2 linked regions of the Mus musculus genome follow. The protein of the gene in region 1 interacts with the protein of each later gene in a biochemical or structural test. Links are inferred from orthologs where the notes say so. Each region holds a gene or a part of one and is shown on either strand. Other genes may lie near its edges.

What was found.
Region 2: the proteins of Mmp2 (region 1) and Timp4 form a complex in vitro, tested with the Homo sapiens proteins (2 studies listed by BioGRID). The link is inferred for Mus musculus from reciprocal best matches to the Homo sapiens genes MMP2 and TIMP4.

The regions. Positions count from the first base shown.
Region 1 is NC_000074.6:92,830,259-92,834,075, forward strand, and holds part of Mmp2 (72 kDa type IV collagenase preproprotein), read left to right. Parts: intron 1-362; coding exon 363-589; intron 590-1,426; coding exon 1,427-1,575; intron 1,576-2,505; coding exon 2,506-2,634; intron 2,635-2,810; coding exon 2,811-2,984; intron 2,985-3,817.
Region 2 is NC_000072.6:115,249,195-115,253,111, forward strand, and holds the start of Timp4 (metalloproteinase inhibitor 4 isoform 1 precursor), read right to left. Parts: upstream 3,012-3,917; 5' UTR 2,585-3,011; coding exon 2,446-2,584; intron 1,284-2,445; coding exon 1,186-1,283; intron 750-1,185; coding exon 635-749; intron 1-634. UniProt on the Homo sapiens protein: Complexes with metalloproteinases (such as collagenases) and irreversibly inactivates them by binding to their catalytic zinc cofactor. Known to act on MMP-1, MMP-2, MMP-3, MMP-7 and MMP-9.

The sequences.
Region 1 (3,817 bases):
TCTTCCTCTGCACGACGGGGAGAGAGAGAGAGAGAGAGAGAGAGAGAGAGAGAGAGAGAGAGAGAGAGAGAGAGAGAGAGAGGGAGAGGGAGAGGGAGAGGGAGAGAGAGAGAGAGTTACATAAGCTAATATCTACTGAGTTATAAATTCAAGGAAATAAAAGGTGGTAGCTATGCCCTTTACAAGTGAATCACCCCACTGGTGGGTGACAGAACTCATTTGAAAGCCCAAGGCTCCATTCACTGTCTTTAGATTCCTGGTTCCATCCTGTCCCAGTTAGTGAATGTTTGGCAGAAGTTGGGGTTAATGGGCATTGCCATCCCAATGTGGATCCCGACTTTGAGAGTTCCTGTCTCTTTCAGCAATACCTGAACACTTTCTATGGCTGCCCCAAGGAGAGTTGCAACCTCTTTGTGCTGAAAGATACCCTCAAGAAGATGCAGAAGTTCTTTGGGCTGCCCCAGACAGGTGACCTTGACCAGAACACCATCGAGACCATGCGGAAGCCAAGATGTGGCAACCCAGATGTGGCCAACTACAACTTCTTCCCCCGCAAGCCCAAGTGGGACAAGAACCAGATCACATACAGGTGCCCAGGAGGGTCTGGGGGGACACAGAGTCAGGACCCTGAGGGATGTGTGCTTCCTTGGGAATTGCCTTCCTAGTTTAGGGGATCCATGAGGTGTCATTCCTCAGAGCTGAGCATTCAGGGACTTTGCATACAGAGTTCTTGATGTGTGGCTAGGTTTGAGTCTCATATTCACTAATGATTGAGGCACTGGTCTTACTCTCTTGCACTTAGAGTTGGTACCCTTGCCAATGAAACAGGGCTAAGAAATCTGCTCCTCATAGGGGCGGTTGAGGAGCTACATTAGATTAAATGTAAATCAAAGGTTTCCACAATGTTTGATACAGAGCAAGGGTCTACAAGTGTTGGTGATTGTCATTGTCATCTGGGTGGGTCACTGGGTCAAGTGGAGGAAGCTTGATGACCAGCTGATAATTGTGTTCTTAATCTTATAGTGGTTTTATGATTGGTTGCTAATTGAGCCAAGACCTCTCCTCTATGTGCCTGGTATCGATCAAGGGTGAGATCTCTGCCTTTTGTTTGATATTGTACTGTTTATTTCTCTGGTGCCCTTGTCCCAGACAGAATGAGGGATGAGAAGGTCTGAGATTGTAGAGACATCAAGGCAGTATAGGAGGGTGTTCTCAGTGAGTTTTGCTCAACACATCTGCTGCACGAGAACACTTGCACACACACACACACACACACACACACACACACACACACACACACACACACACACATGCACACACATGCACACACACGCACGCACGCACACATGCATGCACACACTCTATGCACATAGACACTTGCACAATTGCATATATGCACAGTCGTATGCACTTCTCCCCCTTCTAGGATCATTGGTTACACACCTGACCTGGACCCTGAAACCGTGGATGATGCTTTTGCTCGGGCCTTAAAAGTATGGAGCGACGTCACTCCGCTGCGCTTTTCTCGAATCCATGATGGGGAGGCTGACATCATGATCAACTTTGGACGCTGGGGTAGGCAGAACTGGGCTGGAGAATGGGGTAGCACAGAGACAACAGGGCTAGGTAGTCATTTGAGAAGCATGGGGATCCCGAGGGCAGCTTACTGAGAAGTGTAGACATCGGATGCTCATCAGATGGAGGTAGCAGAGCATGTTCCAGACACTGGAAAGCCACGGCTGTGATAGCAGAGGATGCAGTATAGTATACCCTGCTTGCAGCAAAAACGGACTGCACCCTGTAAATGACAGCCCCTAGATGCATATGGCTACTTGGATATAACATAATAAGAAAGACCTTAACAATTTAAATTCAGTAGTCCCAATAGCAATGCAGGAGGAAGTGGAATAGAATCTGGGGCCAAGCTACCATGTGAGCTGTTGGTATCTGGCAGCAGTATACGTATGAAGGCTGGTGGTATGGATATGAGTAGGTAAAACAATGAAGGTGGAGGGCATGGGAAAGGCAATGTGGACCTGGGGGTAAGTAAGGGAAACATTCTGTTACAGTAGAGTCCGAAGGCTAGCTCTGTGGATAGTGATGACTGTCTGGCATGAGAATAGAGCATAGTGAGGAAGATGGAGTTGATGGGAGGCCATGGATGCCAGGAAGGGATTGGGCTATCATGCTGTGGTGGCACTGAAGACATGTGGGTGGGTACAGTGTTCCTGATAGCAATGAACAGAGCAAAGGTCTATCTGTGGTGCAGGGGAGAGGACCATGTGTCCTCGAGGAGTATGGGCCACAGGATGGGAGCAACCAAGCGAGAGCTTTTCCATTGACTCCCAGTGATGCTTATTCCATAAAACCCCAGTAGGAAATGTGAAAGGGACAGGTATTTGGAGGGCTGAGGAACTCCAAACACAGATAAGGCTGTGGCTGAGCTTAAGGATGCAGCTGTGGGGGCAGGGAATGATAACAGCTAAGAGGCAATGTGGATTTCAGAGCATGGAGATGGATACCCATTTGATGGCAAGGATGGACTCCTGGCACATGCCTTTGCCCCGGGCACTGGTGTTGGGGGAGATTCTCACTTTGATGATGATGAGCTGTGGACCCTGGGAGAAGGACAAGGTAAGATAGCTTCCGTCAGCCTTCATTCCTGTCTCCTAGCAATCTAACCCCACTTTCAGCCCTTCATTTGCTCTGATGGGATCAGGGCAATGGGAGGAGGAGGGAACTCAGCTTTCAGGATGAGCCCATAGCGCAAGGCCCTGAGAGGTGGGTCTCAGGCTCTGTGTGTCCTGCAGTGGTCCGCGTAAAGTATGGGAACGCTGATGGCGAGTACTGCAAGTTCCCCTTCCTGTTCAACGGTCGGGAATACAGCAGCTGTACAGACACTGGTCGCAGTGATGGCTTCCTCTGGTGCTCCACCACATACAACTTTGAGAAGGATGGCAAGTATGGCTTCTGCCCCCATGAAGGTGAGCATCTGCCCTGGCCCCAGCCCTCACCCTACCCAGGCCCTCAGCCTAGCTAGGGGTACCTGCCATGCCTACATCCTCCACATTCCACAGGCCAGCCAACCTTCATCCCCTCATCTAAGTGTCCATTATCCTGCTTTCAGCTGTCACTGTGTCCCGCCTCTACTGTGTTGCTTTAAGGACAGGCACACATTCTAAGAAGTGTGTTGCTCAAGTTCATCGTCACTGTGTGAACATAGTATCCTGACACAAGCTGAGAAGGGAACAGAGTCTCCAGTCAGTCTGACCTCATGGACCACTGTCACATAGGACTCCCACCCTGTGTGTGTGGTCTGTTGTAGCTTAAATGCTATTTTTGTGGTGCACAACCATTTCTGCTTACTTTTTCATATTTAGATAAGTGACTTAGCTTTATTATTTGTGAGATTATGGATTTGATTTATTGATTATTTTTTCTAACATATGGGAGAATGATTTTGAATGTATCAACATTTTTTTGGAGGGCCACTTTATACTTCATACAAACTCTATGGTTCAAGGCCAGGAGGCCAGGAGAAGAGAGACAAGGCCTAGAGACAGATGAAGAGCTTAGCAGTGGGAGAGGAACAAGGCTCAGTCCAAGCTGGTACCTGATCCAAGGAGGATCTTCAGTCTGAGAATATTAGCCATCCCTCCCAAACTGGGCCCACTGTACCAAAGAGAGTCACTTAAAGTGGTCAGAGCTATGCCATCTGACTCTGCCTTCTGTCCCTGTGCCAGGACAGGTATCCAGCTCCATTCAGTGTGTGTGTGTGTGTATGTGTGTGTGTGTGTGTGTGTGTGTGTGTGTGTGT
Region 2 (3,917 bases), on another chromosome or scaffold:
GGACTAGGGGCTCATTGAAGACTATGACCTACTCCCGAATCTCCACTCTTCTACCCAAGGCCTGTAGTATGGTCATCTGCTGGCTCCATAGATAGAGAGTAGAACTCCTCCCTATTCTCCCTGTGGGCTGCAGGTTTTATTTTCCACCTTGTAGGCCATTGTAGAGCCCACTCAAACAGTGGAGTTTCCCGGCTTGTTCACAACCATACCAGCACCTCTTTTCCTGAATTCCAAAATACTTCAGTATTGTATTCATTTATTCCAAGATTATATTCTTGGGGATATTGGATGGGTGGCTGATTTACTTTTCTGTCCCAATCAGTTCAGTATGGAGGAGGTTGGCCCAGCACCAGGTTCATGGAGGTAGAACTGTTAGGGTCAAGCTTATGCACAGGGCAAGATAAACACTCAGAAAACACATCCCAGAGATGTATTTGGGTTCAAGATACCAAAAATTGTGTACCATAAAACTTTCAATGGAACTAGGTTGGTAGAGCAACCTATCCTTAACATAGTGAAGTGGTGACCAGGATCACTAGAGCAGGGACTCCTGTGAATGGAAAGGGAGTTCACTGTTCCTCCTAACTAAAAGGCCATGGTCATGATCACAACTCTGTTTAGCCCCTTCACTTACCAGTCAAAAGATACTGCTTGTGACTGTTGGTTTCTAGCTTCACACCACAGAGGGAAGAGTCAAATGGCGTGTAGACATACTGAATATCCTTGGCCTTCTCGAACCCTTTAAACATCTAAAAGGCAGTTACAGAAGGGCAGCACTGGGTCAGGAGTGTAATAGGCATGGCAGCAGGTTAGAAACTGCTCATTTGTATCCAAACATTAAACAAAGCTCAAATTCAGACTTGGTGCACAGATGACCTTGCTGGCATTCATTCATTCATTCATTCATTCATTCATTCACTCAAGTCTACACCTTGATTTATCCCAGGGAGATGGGGAGGTCCCATGAACGAAGAGCTCTAGGACAGGATAGATAGCAAGTCCCCATCCTGAATAATCATTTGGTTCCCATGGGCCCAGCCCATACCAGCTCATATTCACTTCAGCACCTTCATAAAGAAACCAGAGTCCATTGCCTGACTCTTACCAGGTTCGTCCCTCCCATAGCACAAACCCCATCCCTTCATCAGCCCATCATGGTTCAGCCCTTGTCCTGCCCTCATGTACCTTTATCTGTTTGATTTCATACCGGATCAGTTTTTGAGTGTCAGCAGGGTCTTTGCTGGCAGGGACTACCTTCTCACTGGATATTTTGGCCCGTATCACTGAACAGAAAAAGGGAAACTTTAGCACTGTAGGAGTATGCCATCTGAGATCTGGATGGTCCGGGGTCCTCTGAGTGTCCAGGAAACTCTTGGTTCAAGTATTTTGGGTTCTTCACAGTATGGCACATTCGAGAGAAGGGACTTGGAATTTACTCTGCAGTGGTTGCCAGCTTTAAGCCCTTCAGGGCTATTAGGTCCTCACATTGTATTCTTTTGGCCTTTTAACCTATTGGTTTCCAGAGCACAAGTTCTCCGTAGCCCTGGTTGTAGTAAGAGTAGGAGTCCCTTCAAAGCAGTTGGTGTGGGACTCATCTGTCTATACATCTTAGAACCTCATAGCTCACTAAAAGTAACAGTAACAAATGTTCATTGAATTTGTAAATGTCCTAATTCTCCATTGAGGAGATTCATTTCTTTACATCTAATCAAGAACTGTATCTTATTTTATTTTTCAGTATTGAAGACTGAACCTAAAGCCACATTCATGACAGGCAAATGCTCTATCATTGAGCTACAGCCCCAGCACTGGAAAGTCTTTAAAAAAAAAAAAGGATTTTCCTCTCTGCCTGAACTTTCGCTAGGCACAAGGCTCATCGAAAGGGCTCTCACCCTGTAGAAGTCTTGATCTAATGGAGAATACCTTATTTAAAAAAGAAAAAAAAAAAAAAGCACCTACCACAAATAGGGAACAGCAAAGAATCAAGAAGCCTTCAGAAAATGAAGGGTGAATAGTAGTTGCCAGGAATTTAAAGTTGTGAAAGAAGGGTATCCAGGCAAGGGAAGACAAAGGTAGAAAGATGTGTCCTGTGGGGGCACCTTGGCAACCTCAACTGCAGGCTGGGAGACAGGTGTTATAATGCAAACACCCCTTGCATCCTGGAGTTCTAGAAGTTACTTGATAGCTCCAGAGACAGCTAGGTCCTACCAAGCTGAGCTGATAAAACTACTCGAGAGGTCCGTGATAGAATACTTCTACAAATCAGGCTTTGCACTTCCAAGGTCAATAAAGCAATACCCATTTCTGACTTATCAGCTGTTACAGGAGGCACCCATACATGAACTGAGCTCCACCCCTTCCCTCAGACTCCGGGTCTAAAGCTCTGCCCAACACCACGTTTCCTACTGGCAACCCCTGCTGTGGTCCTCAGGACCATGGACTCACCTAGAGCCGAGTGGCAGAAGTGCTGCTGGGGGTGCGCAGGCGCACAGCTGCACGCCTCACCCCGTCCAGGGGGCCACAGCAAAGCCAGCAGCCTCAGCACCAGCGCCCAGCTCAGCGCAGCCAGGGGACTCCAGGGCATGACACTGCAGAGCCCCAGCTGAGCTCGTGGGGTCTGCCTGTCGTAACAAACAGCCCCTCCAGGACTCCTCCAGAAAGCTTCGTGCAGCCCCAGTCTTTATGAGGTGGCTTTAGAGCCAATCACGCCCCCATGGGCTCCTCCCTCCTTTGGCACCAGGCCACCCACAGCCACAGGACCCAAGGCCCTCCTGACCAGACCAACAAACCCAGTTGGGAAGTTGCAGAGGGAAACCTGCAGATTCCGAAAAGAGCCTGGAAGTAGAGGAAGATTCTGCAGTTAGGGGCAGAGAGATAAAAAAAAAAAAAAAAAAAAAAGCAAAGACCAGTGAAGAGACTTAGAAAAGGCAGAGAGATGAGGGAGAGCACTAAGAGCAAGAGCTAGTGAAGGGAAGCATAGACACAGAGAGACACAGGCCAAGTCAGAGGCAGACAGAATTACAACAGGCAAAAGAGACAGTGACAGAGGAGGACAGACCCCTTGCTGAGCTGCATACTGGGAGTGAGACAAGCTACTCAGGGTTTCTTTCAGCTGCAGGAAGTGTTTTCAATGCCCTATTTACGAGGCTCCAAAGCAACAGCAAACAGTCAGGGAACAGGACAGAGAAAGTTGGGGTGTGTGTGTCTTGGCGCTGTCAGCCAAGGGTGGGGGTGGGGGCTGTGGGGGGTGGTAGGGAAGGATGTCAGAGAAAGTAGCCAGTGCTTTCAAACCCTTTCTTACAGCCAGTGCCTTAGTTAACCGCTACGGGGGGGGGGGGGGGGGGGGGGCGGGGGGCAGTTCTTTCTGTGGAGCTTAAAACAGGGGTGTCCTGTAGCTCAGGGCAAACTTTGGACCTCAGAGCGCCTACTGCACATCATTGCCCAGTGGAGACTGCCATGTTGCAGAAGGTGGAGCCGCTTAGCAAACAAGCCAGGCACTCATTGTGACCCAAGCCTTGTCCACTGTTTGTCAGCAAACTGCTCCAAGAATTTGAATGAAAAGAAGCTCGTGGAATGGCTGCCCGGGGAGGGTAGGAGGCTGGATCCTGATTCTGACTGCCATTGGGTCTGTTAGTGATCTGGGCCTCACTGGGCCCGAACTCTTTTCTCCATTAAGTAGGACTGAACTATACGATTTGTCCCGCTCTTCATTTTACATTTGATAGTGATGTTTGAAAAGAAAGGGCTCGGGAGAGAACGAAGTTAGAGAGAGGCAGGTGACAGGTCCAGGCTAATGTCAAGCTCAGGCCAAGAGTTGTCTCTTGGAGGGGCCTTAAAAGCATCAGCTCAGCCTTGTCACTTGGCAGATGTGAAGGCTGAGAGGCTCAGTACCATGAAGTGGCTGGCAGAAGATCAGT